Linked DNA regions of Macaca mulatta. The protein of the gene in region 5 purifies or fractionates together with the protein of the main gene of each other region. This does not show direct contact. Links are inferred from orthologs where the notes say so. Each region holds a gene or a part of one and is shown on either strand. Other genes may lie near its edges. The genes, in order: ECT2, SHCBP1, RACGAP1, ARF6 and KIF23.

Region 1 (4,155 bases), on a different chromosome or scaffold from region 5:
AAAGAAAATCCTTTTTTAAGTTTTCCAGTACTTAAGAAGAGTTTAAAAGCTAGACAGGGAATAAAAGGTTTAACAGGTTTTCATCAGGGTGGGTTCGGTGGCTCACATCTGAAATCCCAGCACTTTCGGAGGCCAAGGCAGGAGGATCACTTGAGGCCAGAATTTCAACACCAGACTGGGCAACATAGCAAGACCCCATCTCTACAACAAATTTAAAAATTAGCCAGGTGTGGTGGCAAGTGCCTATAGTAGCTACTCAAGAGGCTGAGACAGGGGAACCACTTGAACCCAGGAGTTTGAGGTTGTAGTGAGCTGTGATCCCACCACTGCACTCCAGCCTAGGTGATAGAGCAAGACCCTGTCTCTCTAAAAAAAATTTTTTTAGAGATTTTTATCAATTTTCAATAAGTCAACTTTACTGAGAGAAAATTTCTAAAATATTAGGCAAAGATACAGAGGACCCACCTTTAACAAGAGCTCCATGTCAGACTTTCCCCTTTCCTACTTCTTCAGATTAATAAAATATACAAATACCTTCCTCCAGAGTCTTAGCAAAGTAACAGTTTAAACTGTATGCTGTGAAGAAACAGTAAGGTATCATAACATCATTTTTGGATGCTGAAAATAAGGAATGTAATAACCTGCACACTAATAACAGCACAGGTCTTATCGTGTCATGTGACACTTCAAAATCAGGCAACTCAGCTTCCTGTCTCAGCCCTGCACATAGCCAGTGATGGAACACACGTAGTACTACAACTCAAATCTAGTTAATATGAAAACTGATTAGATGTCTTAAAGTGAACAACAAACAACTATTCTCATGTAATATTCACAATATGGATATTTCTTATTGCTTTACCATACATCCATGTCAATTATTATTCTAAGGCTCTCCAAAGGAGCGGTCCAATAATTGTAACAATCTTAATTTAGAATCAATGATAAATTCTATCCAGCCCTATTATTTTAAGTCTTCTACACTCAACCCTTTCCAATGAAAATGCATTAATGTGGCTTTCATTCGAAGTCCCCTTAAAAGGTGGTTTAAAAAAAAAGTCAGGAGATGAGCTAACCTGCTTTAAGGACTGGAGGAGGGAAATCAAAAATATCATTTGAAAGGCCGGGCGCGGTGGCTCACGCTTGTAATCCCAGCACTTTCGGAGGCCAAGGCGGGCGGATCACAAGTTCGAGACCAGCCTGGCCAACACAGCGAAACCCCGTCTCTACTAAAAATACAAAAATTAGCTGGGCGTGGTGGCAGGCGCCTGTAATCCCAGCTACTCAGGAGGCTGAGGCAGGAGAATCGCTAGAACCCGCGAGGCGGAGGTTGCAGTGAGGCGAGATCCTGCCACTGCACTCCAGCCTAGGTGACAAGAGGTAGACTCCGTCTTAAGAAAAAAAAAAATTGAAAATATTTACGTTTTTCTCCTATGCATCCCTCTTTAAGAGGGAGCACAACAAATGATCAAAAGCAGATGATTAATAAAAGGGAGGGAGCGTAGATGATCAAAAGCAGATGATTAATAATTAAAATTGTCCCTGATGACACTGTATATGATCAATTTATTGCCAAAACAGCTTCAAAATTTATAGAGAAAAAGAGATGCATGGTAACTTGATGACTAACATCCAACAGTCTGATTAGAAATTGAAATATATTAATCACTTTTTTTCAAGTTACTGTATTCCAGAAGCCTTTAAAATAAGCACAATAGGATCAGTGTTCATAAACCTACACGGCTTCTCACCCAAGAACAGACCCAAAGAGCTTCTAGCTAAACACACTATAACACATGCCCCCTTTTATCCCAGAGATAAAATTTGCCATGTAAACAAACATTCAAGTTTCCTTTTACTTAAATACTTTTTAGGTAATCATCTTCCAAGGTGAAGGACTAAAATGCAATCCTGGGTATAATGGTGGTGTTATTAACAATAACGTTACTATTAACAACTGACATTTACTTAACGCTTAATACGTGGCAGACATTGTCCTAAACCTTTTAATCTCTGCAGTAATCCTAAGAGGCAGGTACTATTATTATTTTCAATGTATAGATGAAGAAACCTAGGAACAGAGAGGTTAAGTAACTACCCCTAAGTCAAACTATTAGTAAGGGGTAAAAGAGGTATTCAAAGCCGGGCTGAATCCAGAGGCTGCGCCTTTAACCACTAAGCCAGACACAGCTGTGCCGGGTGGCTGGGGAGGAAGAGGGGCGGATGGCCTGGATTTATCTTGCAAAAACGAAAAACTAAACTTCCCGCAAAGAAGCCAGGATGAATCCTAGAATAAAACCACTGCACACTCTGAGATAAGCCCCCAAAGGCTTCAAGTGCCGGCCTCCAGAGCCACAGGGCTGCGCGGCTTGCCAAAATCCCTTTCCCAACTCCCTCCCTTCACCCACACTCTTCCGTCCAAAAGAGCCAACAGGTGAGGGCGAAGATGCCCAGCAATACTGGGGGCTTCGGGCTCCCACTCCGCGTCAGGGCCCAGCTGCTGGGGGTGGGGTGCGGCGAGGCAGTTCCCGGAGCCGGGAAGCCAGAGCTGGGGCGCTCCGGAATTCGCGGTCACTAGGGGCGGGGACGTCGACCGCAGGCAAAAGAGCCCTTGGCTCTGGAGCCGCTCGCCCACTTGCACCTCCCTCACTCACAAAGAGTCCTTACCACCCTCAAAAAAGCCCTAGGACTTCCAACTCTTCAAAGGCCGACTCCTCTCACAGATACCGCCATTCCTTGCCGGCCGCCGCCACAACCGATTCAAAAAGTAAGCTGCTCTCTCTAAGAGCCATGCCGATTGGCGTGTGATGTCAACCTCTTTCCCATAGGCAGGAGTCTCCAGAGGGCCGGTGATTGGTCGACGCTCTTCACCTCCCGGCAGGCGCCGCTTGATTGGTTGTGCGTGTGTTTCAAATAAGCCCAACGGCTCGGACGTCGGGTCGTCAGGAGTTTGCAGGGAAGTGCCCGGATGTGGCCAGGAGGTGGCGGTGGTGGCTCCTGAGCTCTTATAGGAGTAGCAGGTGTTTCTGTGACTACCGCGTATTTACTCAGTAAACATCCTATTTCCTGAGGAAAGTTTGGGTGGATTCTCCTCGGCCCCACCCAGCTTTTTTTTTTTTAAACGATACCAAATCTTCTAAACTTAAATCAGTGCCGCCAGAGATAAATGTTTCCCTGCTGGTTGCTGTGAGCTGTAGGATTTTCCTATCGGGATGCTTTCTGCTTTACGAATGTATTTAAATTTGAGTTAAGGGATTTTGACTTTGATAGTTGTATTGGCGTGTGGCAGGGCCAAGGACCGGTCCTAGAACTCGGGCTCCCCAGGTGGACTTCGAATCAGCAGCCTCTTATTTAAATCCTATTATTTAAACCACTGCGCTCCCATCTAGGGAATATCGCGGGTTAGAATCAATTCTTAGAAATTTGAAAAATTCTCGGATTTTTAAAAAGATAAGCTTGCATTTGATAAAAATATGCCACTAGATTCAAGAATTTTTGGAGCCAAATTGCCTCCTCGTTGCCCCCCTCCGCCCACTAAGAACTTGTACTTTCCCCTAAAGTCTAGTCAAGAATTTATCAAGTTTTTCCTGTGATTAGAGTTGCTATTATGAAAATAATTTCTTTATTCTCTAAATATGATACCATATAACACAATCTCTTAAGAAAAATACACCCCCACCAGGTGGGTTTATGCATAGTTCCCACCTGAAGGCTAATATAAATAAGAAAGGGGAATCAGATGCCAGAACCTAAATACCAATAAGAAGAGGGAAACGTGTACTTTGGGATGGAACACTTGTGAGCATCTCAAGCAGGTCGTGGGGACTTAATAATTTTTTCTAATTTTGTCAGGCAATCTTAGAATGCCGGAAAAGTTTATAATGCTGTCCACAAAATGAATGAAGCAATCTGGTAATTATTGGTTTCCCTGCTTATCAGTATTTAAGTCTGACCTTCATTAAAATGCTGTGATAACTGTTAGGGCAGAAGAAAAGAAAAACAAGAATTGAAATTTCCATTTGGAATGTGCTTGCATATTTGGAAGTTGGGTGTGCCCAGCATTCCAAAAATGTTCATCACTGAAAACATATTAAGCTACTGTGAGAAGCAGCCCTACTTCCTTTGTGCACCGCTTTCTGCTCAACAGACTTTCCA
Region 2 (3,515 bases), on a different chromosome or scaffold from region 5:
ACTTTAGGGGACTGAGGTGGGAGGATTGCTTGAGCCCAGGAGTTCAAGACCAGCTTGGGCAACACAACAAGGCCCCCATCTCTATGGAAAAATTGTGTCAAAAAATTAGCTGGGCAGTGGTGGCACATGCCTGTAATCCCAGCTGATCCAGAGGCTGAAGCAAGAGGATGACTTGAGCCCCGCAGTTCGAGCCTGCATTGAACCATAACTGCACCACTGCACTCCAGCCTGGGCAACAGAATAAGACCCTGTTTCCAAAAAAATAAAAACACAAAACACAAAACTAGTCATATTTGCCCAAGAATAAAAATCCTTCAGTGGCTTCCCACTGCTCTTAAAGACAAAAATGACTAGCCAGCTAACAAAGCCCCACACTGTCTGGGCCCTGCCAACCTCTCTAATCTCGTTTCCTAGGTCTCTCCCAGCACTGTCTGTGTTCCAGCCATGCTGGCCTTTCAGCTCCTTCAACACACTGAGCTCCTAAATCTGTTCCCTTCCCCACCCCTGCCTCCCCTTTCACCCAGCTAACCCAAGTTCAAATGTCATTATTCCAGGAAATAACCCTAGAACTGCAACTTGACCTAATCTTAGGACACTCTGTAATTCTTCACAGCACTGACTGCTATTTCCAATCATGCAGACAACTGTGCGTGATTATCTCTTCAAGGCTCATCTCCCACCTTTAGACTAACAGCTCCCTGATGATGGTGTGTCTCATGCACCAGACATACTCCACCCTTGACTAAGGACCTGGCACTCAAATATTTATTGAATCAATGAACGAGTGAAATCCCTCATAATTTGACCCTCTCTGGGCACTGACCCAAATCTCAGCCCTCAAAATGCAGTGTACATTTAACCAGGCTCCTCTGCAAATAATACTACTAAATAACATTCCAGATACTTATTTTTCTACCAACTTCTATGCCCATAGAGATTAGCTCTCTGATTCCTAATTTCCTAAACTTATCAGTTATCTCTTTATCTTCAAATGTTTCAATTGACAGATTTTTTTTTTTTAATGAGAAAAATAGAAGAGAGTTATTTGGGTTCCAGACAGAAACCGGTTCATTAGATTCACTCTGCTTGGCCCAATACTGAACATCTAGGGTTAAATGTTCTTGCATACAATTAGAAACTGTCCGTAAGATGTTGGCAGCAGGGCCTGAAACATTCTGCTTCTGTGCAGAGCATTCGAGTTAAGCTCAGCAAAACTAGGCTAACTTACTAATGGTATAGAAAATGGAAAGTACTTTTTATACTACAAAACACCAAGCAATATTATTTACATTATGGTCATTATATATTACTCAAATGTTATACTCAGATATTTGACTGTGTAGGGGTCAGACGAGATAGGCACCCCTAACCCCCGCATCATTCAAGAGTCAACTATACTAGTTTTGTCAGCTTTTCTATTAGTTTGAAATTATCATAAAATGACTTAAAACGTTTTTAGGCCAGGTGCATGGTGGGTCACGCCTGTAATCCCAGCACTTCGGGAGGTAGAGGCAGGTGGATCACCTGAGGTCAAGAGTTTGAGACCAACCTGGCCAACATAGTGAAACCTCGTCTCTACTAGAAGTATAAAATTTAGCCGGGCATGGTGGTGGATGCCTATAATCCCAGCTACTCAGAAGGCTGAGGCAGGAGAATCGCTTGAACCCAGGAGGTGGAGGTTGCAGTGAGCCAAGATCACGCCAATGCACCCCAGCCTGGACAACAGAGCAAGACTCTGTCTCAAAATTAAAAATAGAAAAAAATGATTTAAGACATTAATTTTTTTTAATTTAAAAAAGATTATCCTATCTTTGGATATTTTTGAATACTGCAATGACCAAGTTTACAGTTGAGTTTTAAATCTGGGTCTAACACAGACCAGAATTACTTCATTTCATCCAAAGTTTCTGGCCACAAGGTTATTTTTCTCAACTTCTTTTCCTACCTGACATGCTCAATTGCAAGGGCTGTCTGGTCAAACACTCCCGAATCATCAAACACCACCCAGAGCTCCTGCAGGGGCAACCGATGTTCCTTCAGATCGAGGAGCTCCTTCATGCACTCCATGGTAAAAGTGCTCACTTGAGAGTCACAGAGGTATGGTTCAGCAAGCCTCACCACTGCCTTCAAGGCTGCAAAGTCCACATCTGTGGCCTGAAATTTAAAATAATGAGACTTAACACATGGAAATCAAAATTAAGATATACCTATAAGATACTACTGACAATCTGATTTTTTTAAAAGCATACAACGTGGGTGGGGAGCCTTTACCCATAACATAAAGGATGAACAAATCAGGCTGGCTCATGGAGCTTACACTGTAATCCTCATGGAGCTTACACTGTAATCAGGGAGATCAATAAACACAATGATAACGAGTAGGTGACAGAGAATAACTAGCAGGGGTGGGGATCTGGTTCTGCTGAGATGGCCAAGGAAATCAGCTCTGAGCCAAGCTGAGGAGGATGAGAAGGAAGCAGCCATGTGAAGAGCAGGGAAAGCGCAAAAGGCCTGTGCCAGAGACAGGCTTGGCAGCTGAACGAGCGGGAAGGCAGTCCTTGCTGGAGCCAAAGGGAGGAAATGGAGGAAGGGGGTGGTGTGCAGTGGAGCAGCAAGACATGAGGTGAGAGAGAGAGAGGCAACAAGACAAGGACATGAAGGACATCTGAAGGAGCTTGGATTTTACGTGTTTTCTATACAATGAGAAGCCATAAAGCCAATACTAAGCCCTTGGTAAAGACAATGCATTAGGAGTTTTAAGCAGAGAAATGGCATGCTTCTGTTTTGAAACAATGACTTTGACTGTTTTCAGAGAACGGACTGGCAGGGGGCGCCCTATCATAACCAAACGAATAGGCCTGAACTTCAACCAAAAAATATTAGCATAATCCAAAATTTTAAAACTCACAAGCAATAGCTGCAATCCACTGCCTCGTACATAATCACTGCAGTATGTGATGCCATTTTCTAAGGGAGCTGCAGCGACAACTTGTATTCACATACCCTGGTTTGACATTTTAGGTTACTAGGGCTTTTTGTGGTCAGTTAACAAACACTGAGAAAAATTCAAAGCTGTAATTAGAATGCAAATATAATGTAAAAGGCCTAGTCAGCAGAAGAATAAGATTGCTTTTACATTCTGCAATGGGACACAATGTCAAGAGATTAACCACATATAAACAAACTTGCTATGCAAAAAATGGGCTAGTTTTAAAATGCCACTTAGCGGAGGTTGCAGTGAGCCAAGATCATGCCACTGCACTCCAGCCTAAGCAACAGAGTGAGACTCCATCTCAAAAACAATAAATAAATAAAAATGTCTCTTAGGTTTGAGCTGCTTAACGAATTACAATTAAGAAGTTAAAAACTTTTTTGAAACCATTAACTTCATAATTAGGCCTAATTTTTTAAGTGATCTCAAATACCTTCTTTTAATTAATTTATACCAGTTTAATTCCCTGGTAACAACTCCTCAGTTGCCTTTAAAATTTGCAGAACACTTCCTGCAACATGGC
Region 3 (3,515 bases), on a different chromosome or scaffold from region 5:
TAGAAAATTATCATCATAATCAACTTTTTTTTTTTTTTTTTTTTTTTGAGACTGAGTCTCACTCTGTCAACCAGGCTGGAGTGCAGTGGTGCAATCTCAGCTCACTGCAACCTCCGCCTCCCGGGTTCAAGCGATTCTCCTGCCTCAGCCATTCAAGTAACTGGGATTACAGGTGCCCACCACTACGCCCAGCTAATCTTTTGTATTTTTAGTAGAGACGGGGTTTCACCATGTTGGCCAGGCTGGTCTTGAACTCCTGACCTTGTGATTCACCCACCTCGGCCTCCCAAAGTGCTAGGATTACAGGCGTGAGCCACTGGGCCTGGCCTTTTTCTGTCTTTTTTTGAGACAGAGTTTCACTCTTGTTGCCCAGGCTGGAGTGCAATGGTGTGATGGAGGTTGGCTCACTGCAACCTCCACCTCCCGGGTTCAAGCGATTCTCCTGCCTTAGCCTCCCAAGCAGCTGGGATTACAGGCATGCGCCACCACGCCCGGTTAATTTTTATATTGTTAGTAGAGACGGGGTTTCTCCACGTTGGTCAGGCTGGTCTCGAACTCCCGACCTCAGGTGATCCACCTGCCTCAGTCTCCCTAAGTGCTGGGATTACAGACGTGAGCCACTGCTCCCAGCCATAATCAACTAACATTTATTGAGCACTTAGTATGTGCCAAAAAATTTTCTAAGCCCTTTACACATATTTACATATGTAATTCTCACAGTAATCCCATAAGATAGGTTTTGTTTTCTTCATTTTAAGATGAGGAAACAGAAGCAAAAAGAGTTTAAGTAACTCATTTAAGGTCATCCAGCTGGAAGGCAGCAGTGTGAGGTAGTGGAAAGAACTTGTTTACAAAGAGCAGAAAACCTGGATGTTGGATGTTGGCAAGGCATGGTAGCTCATGCCTGTAATCCCAGCACTTTGGGAGGCTAAGGCGGGAGGATCACCTGAGGTCAGGAGTTCGAGACCAGCCTGGCCAACGTGGTGAAATCCTATCTCTACTAAAAGTACAAAAATTTGGCCAGGCATGGTGGCGGGCGCCTGTAATCCCAGCTACTTGGGAGGCTGAGGCAGGAGGATCATTTTAACCCAGGAGGCAGAGGTTGCAGTGAGCCGAAATCACACCACTGCCCTCCAGCCTGGGCAACAGAGTGATACTCCGTCTCAAATGAAAAAAAAGAAAAAAAGAAAACCTGGATGTTAAATGTGTCACTTACTATCATGTGGCTCAAAAATGTCAACTCCTCTGAGCCTCAGTTAATTTGCTTGGATTTTCATAAGGAAATCAAATGGTACAAAAGCAAAACATTTTGAAAATCTTAGGTGATATATTCAAGAAAAAATGTAAACATGTGTCACTAAAAAGTACTAACAATCGGCCAGGCACGGTAGCTCATGCCTGTAATCCCAGCACTTGGGGAGCTGAGGCAGGAGGAGCACTTGAGCCCAGGAGTTTGAGACCAGCCTGGGCAACATAGCAAGACCAGGTCTCTACAAAAAATTTAAAAATTAGCCGGGCATGGTGGCACACATCTGTATCCCAACTACTCAGGAGCTGAGGTGGGAGGATTGCTTGAGACTGGGAGGTTAAGGCTACAGTGAGCTATGATCACACCACTGCACTCCAGCCTGGGTGACAGAGTAAGACTCTGTCTCACAAAAAAAAAAAAAAAAAAGCACTAACAATTGCTTCAGAAAAGGTTGGTTTCTTTAATTTAGTATTACTCACAGAATGGAAAGAAACTTACCTCTGTAACCAATAGTTACTTCTGGAGAGTAAAATTGGAATGAGGAAGGAAATTTGACATTTAACTTTATAACACTAAAGTATTTAACTTTATTCCTGGTATTTATTACTTTCACAATTAAAAAATTAAAACATACCTAAAACAAAACGAACAATCACAGACTTACCGTCTTTGAAACAAAGTCATGCAGGCGCATCCCTCCATTACTCTGTGGCGTGCCCACACTGTCTGTCTCAGTTCTTGGCTCCAGCTGCCTGCTGTTCAGGGTGGAGTCACTGTTCCAAGGTTGTAAAGTACCTAGAAAACAAGCAACTTTTAAGCTTTGTTTCTTAAGTATTTTGCTGCTTCTAAATTTTAGCTCCAATTTTAATTGGGAGATAAACAGTAATCTGTCATCATAGCCAAAAGTGAGTACTAATGGCTATGTAAAAAAATAGTTTCAAGAAAAACTAAAGTTATGCAAGTAGGCTAGCAATTCAAAGGTAAAGCATGATACAAGCAGTTATCTGGTCCTCGGTATGCAGCAGTAAGAAACTACCCAATACATCCAATCCCTGCTTCAGGAGGGTTCTAAGAAACCAACTCTCCAAAATTTTACTAGCTGTTTTACACAGGCCAGTTTAGTCACAAATTCAATGGACCTGTTTTCCTTCGGCTCCTGGTCCAATATGGCACAGTCTCAATAGTGGACACAGCTTCGATGGGCCCACCATCATTGGGAACAGTCACTGTAGTTTTTGCAACTATGGATTCATTCCCCTGCAACAAAAGTAGTAATGAGAGAAAGACAAACAAAGCATCTAACTCACCTTCTACTATAGGGTATTTTGGAGCAGGTTAAAAATTCCTTAGTCTTAGCCAAGACTTAAGACCACAGTCTGAAACTCTTTTTTTTTTTCACTCTATCGCCCAGGCTGGTGCACAGTGGCACGATCTCGGCTCACTGCAACCTCCACCTCCCAGGTTCAAGGGATTCTCCTGCCTCAGCCTCCTGAGTAGCTGCGATTACAAGCGTGTGCCACCACACCTGACTGATTTTTTTTTTTTTTTTGAGACGGAGTCTCGCTCTATCACCCAGGCTGGAGAACAGTGGCCCAATATCAGCTCACTGCAAGTTCCGCCTCCCGGGTTCATGCCATTCTCCTGCCTCAGCCTCCCGAGTAGCTGGGACTACAGGCATCCGCCAGCACGCCCAGTTAATTTTTTGTAGTTTTAGTAGAGACGGGGTTTCACTGTGTTAGCCAGGATGGTCTCGATCTCCTGACCTCGTGATCCACCCGCCTCGGTCTCCTAAAGTGCTGGGATTACAGGCGTGAGCCACCGTGTCTGGCCGACTGATTTTTGTATTTTCAGTAGAGACGGGGTTTCGCCATGTTGACCAGGCTGGTCTCGAACTCCTGACCTCAGGTGATCATCCACCTGCCTAGGCCTCCCAAAGTGCAGGGATTACAGGTGTGAGCCACCACGCCCGACCTGAAACATTCTTATGTTGAAATCTCATGTTTGGCTGGGTGCAGTGGCTCATGCCTGTAATCCCAGCATTTTGGGAGGCCGAGGTGGGGAACATCACGTGAGCCCAGCAGTTCGAGACCATCCTGGGCAGCAAGGAGAGACTCTCCCTCTACTTTAAAAAGTAAAAATAAAGAAATCTCATACTTAAGAAGATAAACATAGGTGATGGGGGCATATATTCAAGCAACTAAGACTCACTCTGACAGTTATTTACTTAATCAGAGTAATTCCATTCACATGGATAAGGATTCTACTG
Region 4 (4,299 bases), about 76 Mb from region 5:
GCTGCTTTACAATTCTGCATCAAGCATTAACATTTGGTTCAAAATATTATCATAGTGGTCGCAATCCAGTTACTGGTCCTAACCAGCTAACCAAGTAATCTTGTTAGGATCTGGATATCACCAGCGAGCACACTGCTTACATATGAAGAAAAATAAGTTTACATTCATTGTCATCTGTAGGTTCTTTCTCTTCATCCTACGTCCCCTTTAATAGTCATCCCTCAAGTCTACACATCATTCATTCATCACGCTTCCTTCCTTAAAGGAGACAGTGTACTATTGAACCAACAGGATATCTTCATTATTTGCATGAGTTAATCCTACAAACAAAATTAAATACCTTTTTTATAAAACATCTTTTCCAGTGTTCTAATTGATGGAGATGTGGATCACTCATCTATAAAAATGACTTATAGCTTCAGCTTTATCAGTTGCTATAATGTGAAAACAGGAATGTGTATTTTTTTCAACTAGGTAAAAGGTGCATATAATTTGAATTGCTAAATGCTTTATTAATGAACAAAGTAAACCTTTTAGTAATTTTTAAGTTACTGGTCTCAGGCGTTTGAAACAAGGTCAAAGTATACATTCCAGTTTTGCCCAAAAGTCACTTAAAATATCTACAAATGTTTAATCTGTGTGTGGTATACACCATTATTGCTCCAATTCCTGGAGTCTATTTTTAAAGTTTAAAAAAGAGGGAAAACAGCAAAGTGACTAACTTTGCAGTGGAAAAAAAAAGTGTCCTTCATGGGTTACACTTTCATATTCTTATGCAGCGTTAAGTTAGCTACCTTGTGGGGAACTTGGGTTTTATTCCTACTCATGCATGATGTATGTTTCAGAACTTATTTGCTGACATTTCAGAGAACCTCTTACATTACCTGTTTAACATACTGAGGTGCAACTGGAACATATTACAATGATATTACTCATTACTCGCCACTGTGGGCTAAGTTTACTATACTGGTCTTAGATATAAAAGGTCACATTTGAAATTACTAAGTTAGAACTCATAAGGAAGGGGGGAAAGGCCTTAAGTATAAAAGACAAACGGCAGTTTGATTAAGCAATAATTTTCAGTTTACTAGATGAAACAGACTTGCAACATAGTCTGCATGAATGCAAAATAAGCCATCTACAGCAAGTGATAAGGAAACTGGGCAAAAAAGGAAAAAAGCATACATAGGAAAATGAAAGATTCTCTCGAAATAAAAAAATCAAACTATTATTACAAAGGACTTTACCAGGAACTGCTGTATTTCCCCCATCCCATCTGCTGGAAGTCAATAAGAGCATCTAGCAACTTTGTGTTCATGTCAAATGTCAGATCAGAGCATCCTAATGCAAAGCCAAAAAAAAAAAAAAAGGGAAGAAGAGAAACAAACAAAAGAGAAAACCCCCAAGCCCCCTCCCCCCAAACTGTAGAACAGTAACTCCAGAGTTCAAATTCAAAAGAAGAGAAAGTGGCAATTGAAAGAGGTGATGGTGGCGATAATCCTATGAATGGGTTTTTGATTTCTCTCCTTCCAGGGGATGGGTGGAGAATGCTCATTAAGATTTGTAGTTAGAGGTTAACCATGTGAGCCCCTCATAGAGTCCGTCCCCTGAGGTGGCACAGGAGGGCTGCACATACCAGTTCCTGTCCCGAATCCGGGTCAGGCCCAGTTTCTCCTGGATCTCGTGGGGTTTCATGGCATCAGGCAGGTCCTGCTTGTTGGCGAAGATGAGGATTATGGCGTCCCTCATCTCCCGGTCATTGATAATGCGGTGCAGCTCCTGGCGAGCCTCATCGATGCGGTCGCGGTCGGCGCAGTCCACTACGAAGATCAGACCTTGGGTCCCAGTGTAGTAATGCCGCCAGAGCGGCCGGATCTTGTCCTGGCCGCCCACATCCCATACGTTGAACTTGACATTTTTGTAAGTCACCGTCTCCACGTTGAAACCCACAGTGGGAATGGTGGTCACCGACTGGCCCAGCTTCAACTTGTACAGGATTGTTGTCTTGCCGGCCGCGTCCAGGCCCAACATGAGGATCCGCATTTCCTTGTTCCCGAAGATTTTGGATAGCACCTTCCCCATCGCGTCGGAGGAGCCGGGGCCGGGGGCATTCAGGTGTCCCGGGTCCCGTCAGCCAACAACGCCGCCGCCGCCGCGAAACCGAAACGAAGCCTCCCGGCCGCGAAGGCGCCTTTGCGGCCTGCGTGGGAGGTGCCTCCTAAGGGCAGAGGCCCAGGACTGCCGCTCACTCGGGCATCACCGACCGCACAACTTGATTCCTCCACTCGCCGCTGCCACCCGGGCCCTGAGTCTGCGCCGGGAGCCGCCGCCCTGCTGAGGCGCGGCCCGGCCCGGAACTGCCCTTCCCCCCGCAGGCGCCGCGCGAGCGCCGCCGCGGTTCCCGCTCCTCCGCCTTCCTCTCACCCCGAGGGAGAATGCGGCCCTCCGGCCCGCCAGCCGGCCTGCAAACACTGGGCTCACCACCGACCCAGGACACCCGAGAGGCAGCACGACTCCGGGGCCCCGTCAGGTCATGGATCCTCGCGGGAACTCGGTACGCTGCCTGCAGAGAAACAGAGAGGGAGAGGGGAGTTACCGCCAGAGATCCAGAGAGGAGTGAAGACAGAGGTGGCCCGCCTTTCCAGCTCGGTGCAGGGGGTTACCTCCAGCCGCCGCCCCGAGCGCGGGCTCCCTCCGGCCTCCAACTCCTCCTCCCAGTTCTGCCGCCGCCGCTGCCGGAAAAGGCGCCGAGGAAACCGCCTCACTTCCCCTCCCAACCACGCAGGCGCAGCAGAGGCCGACCGTTCGGACAAGAGCGACCTCTGTAAGGAGAGCGGCCCGCGCGCCTAGCGTCATGGGCGCCACGCGCCGGAGGGGCGGGGCTACGGCGTCTCGGAGGGCCCGCAGGTGCGGTTGGCCCAGAGACCTGCAACCTCGGACTCTGACCGGCGCCCACCTGTGGCTCTTCTAGCGTCTCGTTCCCTGTTTTTCTCTTCTGCGCTCTGCCCTCCCCTGCCCACACGAACCAAGGGACAGATCTACTGGGGGGGCTCCACAGGGTGGGGCCCACGGGCAGCCCACTCTCTCCACGAACAGAGCTGCCTCCAGGCCTGTTCCCAGACCTCGGTGCCCGCCAGATGCTGTGCGAGTTCCCTCCGCCCGCCCCAGCCTTCGCGCACCCTCCGCGCACCCTCAACTTCCCAGAGAAGCTCTGTTCGGTTTTTTTTTTTTTTTCCTTTTTCTCATCCCCTTGGCTTTCTTTATCCCTTGAATTTTGTGTGTTTTCTGAAAGACACGTGGGAGGCCAGTGTCTCGTGTGGAATCTGCCAGTCAGTGCAGCGCTTTCGGGGAGTTGAGTTTACTCTGTAGCTCTTTTGAATGTTTGAGCCCTGTCTGCCTATAGGTCTCGTCAAGACCAGCCCATGTTTCTTAAAAACTGCAGTATTTATCAAGAGTTCCTGTGCCTTGCCGCGTTTTCACCTTTTTAGAATGCGACATCTGTTCATCTTTAAATATCACTTTATTTTATATGGTTAGTAGTAGCTTCTCACCCACCTACCCATTCTTTTTTTTTTTTTTTTTGAGACAGTCTCGCTTTGTCGCCCAGTCTGGAGTGCAGTGGCGCGATCTCGGCTCACTGCAAGCTCCGCCTCCCGGGTTCAGGCCATTCTGCCTCAGCCTCCTGGGTAGCCCTCAGCTTCCGGAGTAGCTGGGGGTACAGGCGCCCGCCACCACGCCTGGCTAATTTTTTGTAGTTTTAGTAGAGACGGGGTTTCACCGTGTTAGCCAGGATGGTCCCGATCTCCTGACCTCTTGATCCGCTCGTCTCTGCCTCCCAAAGTGTTGGGATTACAGGCGTGAGCCACCGCGCCTGGCCTCCCATTCTTTAAGAAGCCTAGGCGGTAAAATATAGGATTTAGAATATAGAACGACCGCTTGTATGGCCTGGATCTGGCACTTAACCTTACTAAGTTTATCTCATGTGTAAACTGACCTTGCTAACTCCCCCAGTGAGGCTTAAATAATACAATGTGGAAGACTTTAGGGCACATTTTTGGTTTTTTGGTTTTTGTTTTGTTTCTGTTGCAGTCCAGTGGCACAATCTCGGCTCACTGCAGCCTTCTCATCCCGGGTTCAAGCAGTTCTCCTGCGTTAGCTTCCGGAGCAGCTGGAATTACGGGCGCCCACCACCAGGCCCGGCTAATTTTTGTATTTGTAGCAGAGACAGGATTTCACTGTGTTGGCCAGCCTGGTGTCGAAGTCCTGACCTCAGGTGATCCACCCACCTCGGCCTCCGAA
Region 5 (3,515 bases):
CATAATACCACATTTTGATGTACTATACTTTAAAATCAGAATATTATCTCATCTCTGAGTTCTTACATGAAATACATTTTAAATAAATTGTGACCTTTAAGAAAGCAAGAACACTTCAATTATCAAGGCTCTCTAAATACGATTAATAAAATATCCTGTAAAAACAGCTTTAGAGTTCAAAAAGAACAAACAATCTTGGAACTGAAAGGATACACATAGGACAATACTGAGAAGATAGATGACCTCACAGTCCTCATGAATGACTCCCTCCCTTCAAGGTAAAGAAAACTGAGGCCCAAAGGTGAAACTTCTCTGAGCTCATGGAGTTAATTAGTATCAAAGCCATCGTCAGTGCAGTGTTTTTGTTTTCTTTCTTTTTTTTTTTTTTTTTGAGACAGAGTCTTGCTCTGTCACCCAGGTTGGAGCGTAGTGGCGGGATCTCGGCTCACTGCAACCTCTGCCTCCTAGGTTCAAGCCATACTCCTGCCTCAGCCTCCCGAGCAGCTGGGATTACAGGCGCCTGCCACCACACTGGGTAACTTTTGTATTTTTAGTAGTGATGGGGTTTCGCCACATTGGCCAAGCTGGTCTCGAACTCCTGATCTCAGGTGATCCACCTGCCTTGGCCTCCCAAAGCACTGGGATTACATGTGTAAGCCATCATGCCGGGCCGCAATGCTCTTTTCATTATATAATGTTGCCTTCTGTCAGAAAGCAGTGATTATTTTTAATCCCCATCAAACCTTTTTATACCTACTTGATACCTTTATTTATACATACTTGAAATTTACTTAAAGAAGTAAAACTCAGTAAATCAGTGTTTAACCATATTATATCCTCAAAGACCTGCTCCTCCATAAAACCCCCCCAGACCATGCATTCTTGCTGAAGCCATATTTACTGTCTGATGAACAGAACATATAAGGTACATATTCCTTGGAAGTTTACATTATAGTAGAAGAAAGACAATAAACAGGTAAATAAATAGATTGTGGTTAAGTAATATAAAGGAGGTACACAGAGTACAGATCAGGGGAGAGGGGCTGTGGGGTGCTGTTTCTGATTGCGCAGTCTATATGACCTGAGGTGACATTTAAGCTGAAACCCAAGAATGACCCATGCTAAGGTCCAGAAAAAGTCCGGGTTAAGGCAACAGCTAACAGCCAGGATTCTGCCTTATCCAAGGAACTCAAAGGATTGGATAAATACTAAAAGATGGATGAGGGTGGAGGGTGGAGAGACAGATGGGAGGCGGATGAAGCAGGATTTTGTCTGTTTAAAGATTTTATTCCTTGAAAGGTTTTGAATAGGAAAATGATGAGATTTTATGTTTTAAAAGAACACTGTCTGCTCTGTAGAAATGGATTAGAGAAGATTTCAAGTGGAGGCAGTTGGGCTTTGGCAGTCGTGTCAATGATACCCAAAGCACACTCAGCAAACCAATGCCTGTCTGAGAACTGTTACAAGACTACTTAAATGTTTAGAAAGTTGTTTTTTCTTTGTTTGTTTTTTGAGATGGAGTTTCACTCTTGTTGCCCAGGCTGGAGTGTAATGGTGCGATCTCGGCTCACTGCAACCTCCGCCTCCCGGGTTCAAGTGATTCTTCTGTCTCAGCCTCCCGAGTAGCTGGGATTACAGGCACGCCCCACCACGCCCGGCTAATTTCTTTGTATTTTTAGTAGAGACAGGGTTTCATCATATTGGTTAGGCTGGTCTTGAAGTCCTGACCTCAGGTGATTCACAAGCCTTGGCCTCCCAAAGTGCTGGAATTACAGACATGAGTCACTGCGCCCGGCCAAATGTTTAGAAAGTTTTACAGGCATTTGACACTGCCCAATTATCAGTATTTCAGCCCGTATTCAATAGGCTCATCTCTATGAAGAGATTATGAACTAGTTCCCTGTTGTCTAACTCACACGGGCACAGTGTACAAAAGTCCCAGCTGTGATGCGTTAAAAATAAAAAAGCTACTCCTTCATTACAGTAGCACTGGTCTCAGTGGTTAATAATGGGGCTCAGACTAGGGTGGTGGCAGTGGAGATGGAAATGAAAGGACAGTTTCAAGACACATGTTGGAATATAACTGATAGGAGCTATTAATGAACTAGTTATGAGGAGGGGCAAGTAAACAGTAGGTACCAGGTTTCTGGCTTGAGCAACTGGACAGATGACAGTGCCATTCTTTGAGAAGAAAACAAGGGAGGAAGTATTTATAAAGGGAATAAGAAAAATCAAGAACTCTTTTTTGGGCATGTAAAATTTGAGATGCACATGTGACATCCAAGCAGAGATATCAAGTAAGTGGCTGAATGTTTAGAGCCAGAGAAAAGGTTTCGGCTGGAGATACAGGGAGAGCTGGAGCGGGAAACAGGGGAGTGCTGCTGACAAACAGGTTATAATGAGGATGAAGAGGTATACATCAAATTTAGCAGCAAAGAGGCCACTGGTATTCTTCTGAAGAGCAATTTCACAGGAATAGTAGGCACAAAAGAGTGAGTGATAGCTAGAAGTAGAAATGGTAGCCTGCCTGAATTAATCCTACTGCATTCCCACGGTCCCCTCATCTTTAGCACACCTAACTTTCTGTCTTATTTACATGAGAATTATTTGTTTACCATATGTCTTAAGTTATAGACTTTCTAAAGGCAAGGAGTATATCATGCTCATTTTTTTAAAATCTCCTTCCCGCCTCCAGCTATTAGCTTAGCACATTTGCTAAATGGTATTTTTGAGTTGGTTCAAAATTTTACTAAAAATAAAAACACTGCCTAGGAGATTGATGCAAGCATACAATGCCTATTATTAAATGTTACTTTAATTTCCACACATGAAGTTGTATATATAAAACTGCCTAGTACAATCATGTATCATTCCACATTAAATCATCCCTAACACATGCTCTAAAAACCAATAATACTCAGGGTAAGAAATTATCTGCTAAAAGCAATCCTCTAACTCCAGCATATCAAAGATATGTCTGTGCATCGCAGAAGTCAAAAACACTTTAGATACAGTGGTTATAATGAAGTAAATAAGTCTTTCGAAAATGTGGGCTCACAAATGAACTTTGTTACATTTAAAACTGTAAGTCATTCAGGAAACAACATATTGAGAAAAAACAACTTGGTTCAAATCAGAATTACCTCCTTATAGTCTCCATTTCGGTTGAGTCTATAGCCCTCAGGAGTATGAAGCTGAACAGTTGTGTTATTGATCACTTCTATGCAACACTCTTGATCAGGAAAGCCCAGTGGGCGCACCCTACAGTATACCTGAAGAAATAAGAAGGTGCTTAAATAACAAAGTTTGATCTTTTGCCTGACTTTTCACTTAAGCTTCTCATTCATTCCTTCATTCATTCAACAAACATTTGTGGTCTCTCAGTTTTAGAGCTCTGTATCTCCAAGAGCTATGAAAATTAAAATCTGCTACTTGAGATTGACAAATACAAACATATATTAGATATGAGAAAACTTTAAATACACACAAAATTAAAATAAATTTTGATAATAAAA

What was found.
Region 1: the proteins of KIF23 (region 5) and ECT2 purify together in Homo sapiens (co-immunoprecipitation; 3 studies listed by BioGRID and IntAct, with this or other methods). This does not show direct contact. The link is inferred for Macaca mulatta from reciprocal best matches to the Homo sapiens genes KIF23 and ECT2.
Region 2: the proteins of KIF23 (region 5) and SHCBP1 purify together in Homo sapiens (affinity purification with western blotting; 9 studies listed by BioGRID and IntAct, with this or other methods). This does not show direct contact. The link is inferred for Macaca mulatta from reciprocal best matches to the Homo sapiens genes KIF23 and SHCBP1.
Region 3: the proteins of KIF23 (region 5) and RACGAP1 purify together in Homo sapiens (co-immunoprecipitation; 10 studies listed by BioGRID and IntAct, counting the BioPlex papers as one, with this or other methods). This does not show direct contact. The link is inferred for Macaca mulatta from reciprocal best matches to the Homo sapiens genes KIF23 and RACGAP1.
Region 4: the proteins of KIF23 (region 5) and ARF6 purify together in Homo sapiens (affinity purification with western blotting; 3 studies listed by BioGRID and IntAct, with this or other methods). This does not show direct contact. The link is inferred for Macaca mulatta from reciprocal best matches to the Homo sapiens genes KIF23 and ARF6.

The regions. Positions count from the first base shown.
Region 1 is NC_133407.1:84,486,901-84,491,055, reverse strand, and holds the start of ECT2 (protein ECT2), read right to left. Parts: upstream 2,803-4,155; 5' UTR 2,668-2,802; intron 577-2,667; exon of another isoform or gene 466-576; intron 1-465. UniProt on the Homo sapiens protein: Guanine nucleotide exchange factor (GEF) that catalyzes the exchange of GDP for GTP. Promotes guanine nucleotide exchange on the Rho family members of small GTPases, like RHOA, RHOC, RAC1 and CDC42.
Region 2 is NC_133425.1:42,038,925-42,042,439, forward strand, and holds part of SHCBP1 (SHC SH2 domain-binding protein 1), read right to left. Parts: intron 2,155-3,515; coding exon 1,946-2,154; intron 1-1,945. UniProt on the Homo sapiens protein: May play a role in signaling pathways governing cellular proliferation, cell growth and differentiation. May be a component of a novel signaling pathway downstream of Shc. Acts as a positive regulator of FGF signaling in neural progenitor cells.
Region 3 is NC_133416.1:57,172,540-57,176,054, forward strand, and holds part of RACGAP1 (rac GTPase-activating protein 1), read right to left. Parts: intron 2,507-3,515; coding exon 2,389-2,506; intron 2,045-2,388; coding exon 1,914-2,044; intron 1-1,913.
Region 4 is NC_133412.1:123,126,031-123,130,329, reverse strand, and holds the start of ARF6 (ADP-ribosylation factor 6), read right to left. Parts: upstream 2,804-4,299; 5' UTR 2,664-2,803; intron 2,564-2,663; 5' UTR 2,083-2,563; coding exon 1,555-2,082; 3' UTR 1-1,554. UniProt on the Homo sapiens protein: GTP-binding protein involved in protein trafficking that regulates endocytic recycling and cytoskeleton remodeling. GTP-bound form plays an important role in the transport of multiple palmitoylated proteins form the Golgi to the plasma membrane.
Region 5 is NC_133412.1:47,026,572-47,030,086, reverse strand, and holds part of KIF23 (kinesin-like protein KIF23), read right to left. Parts: intron 3,273-3,515; coding exon 3,144-3,272; intron 1-3,143.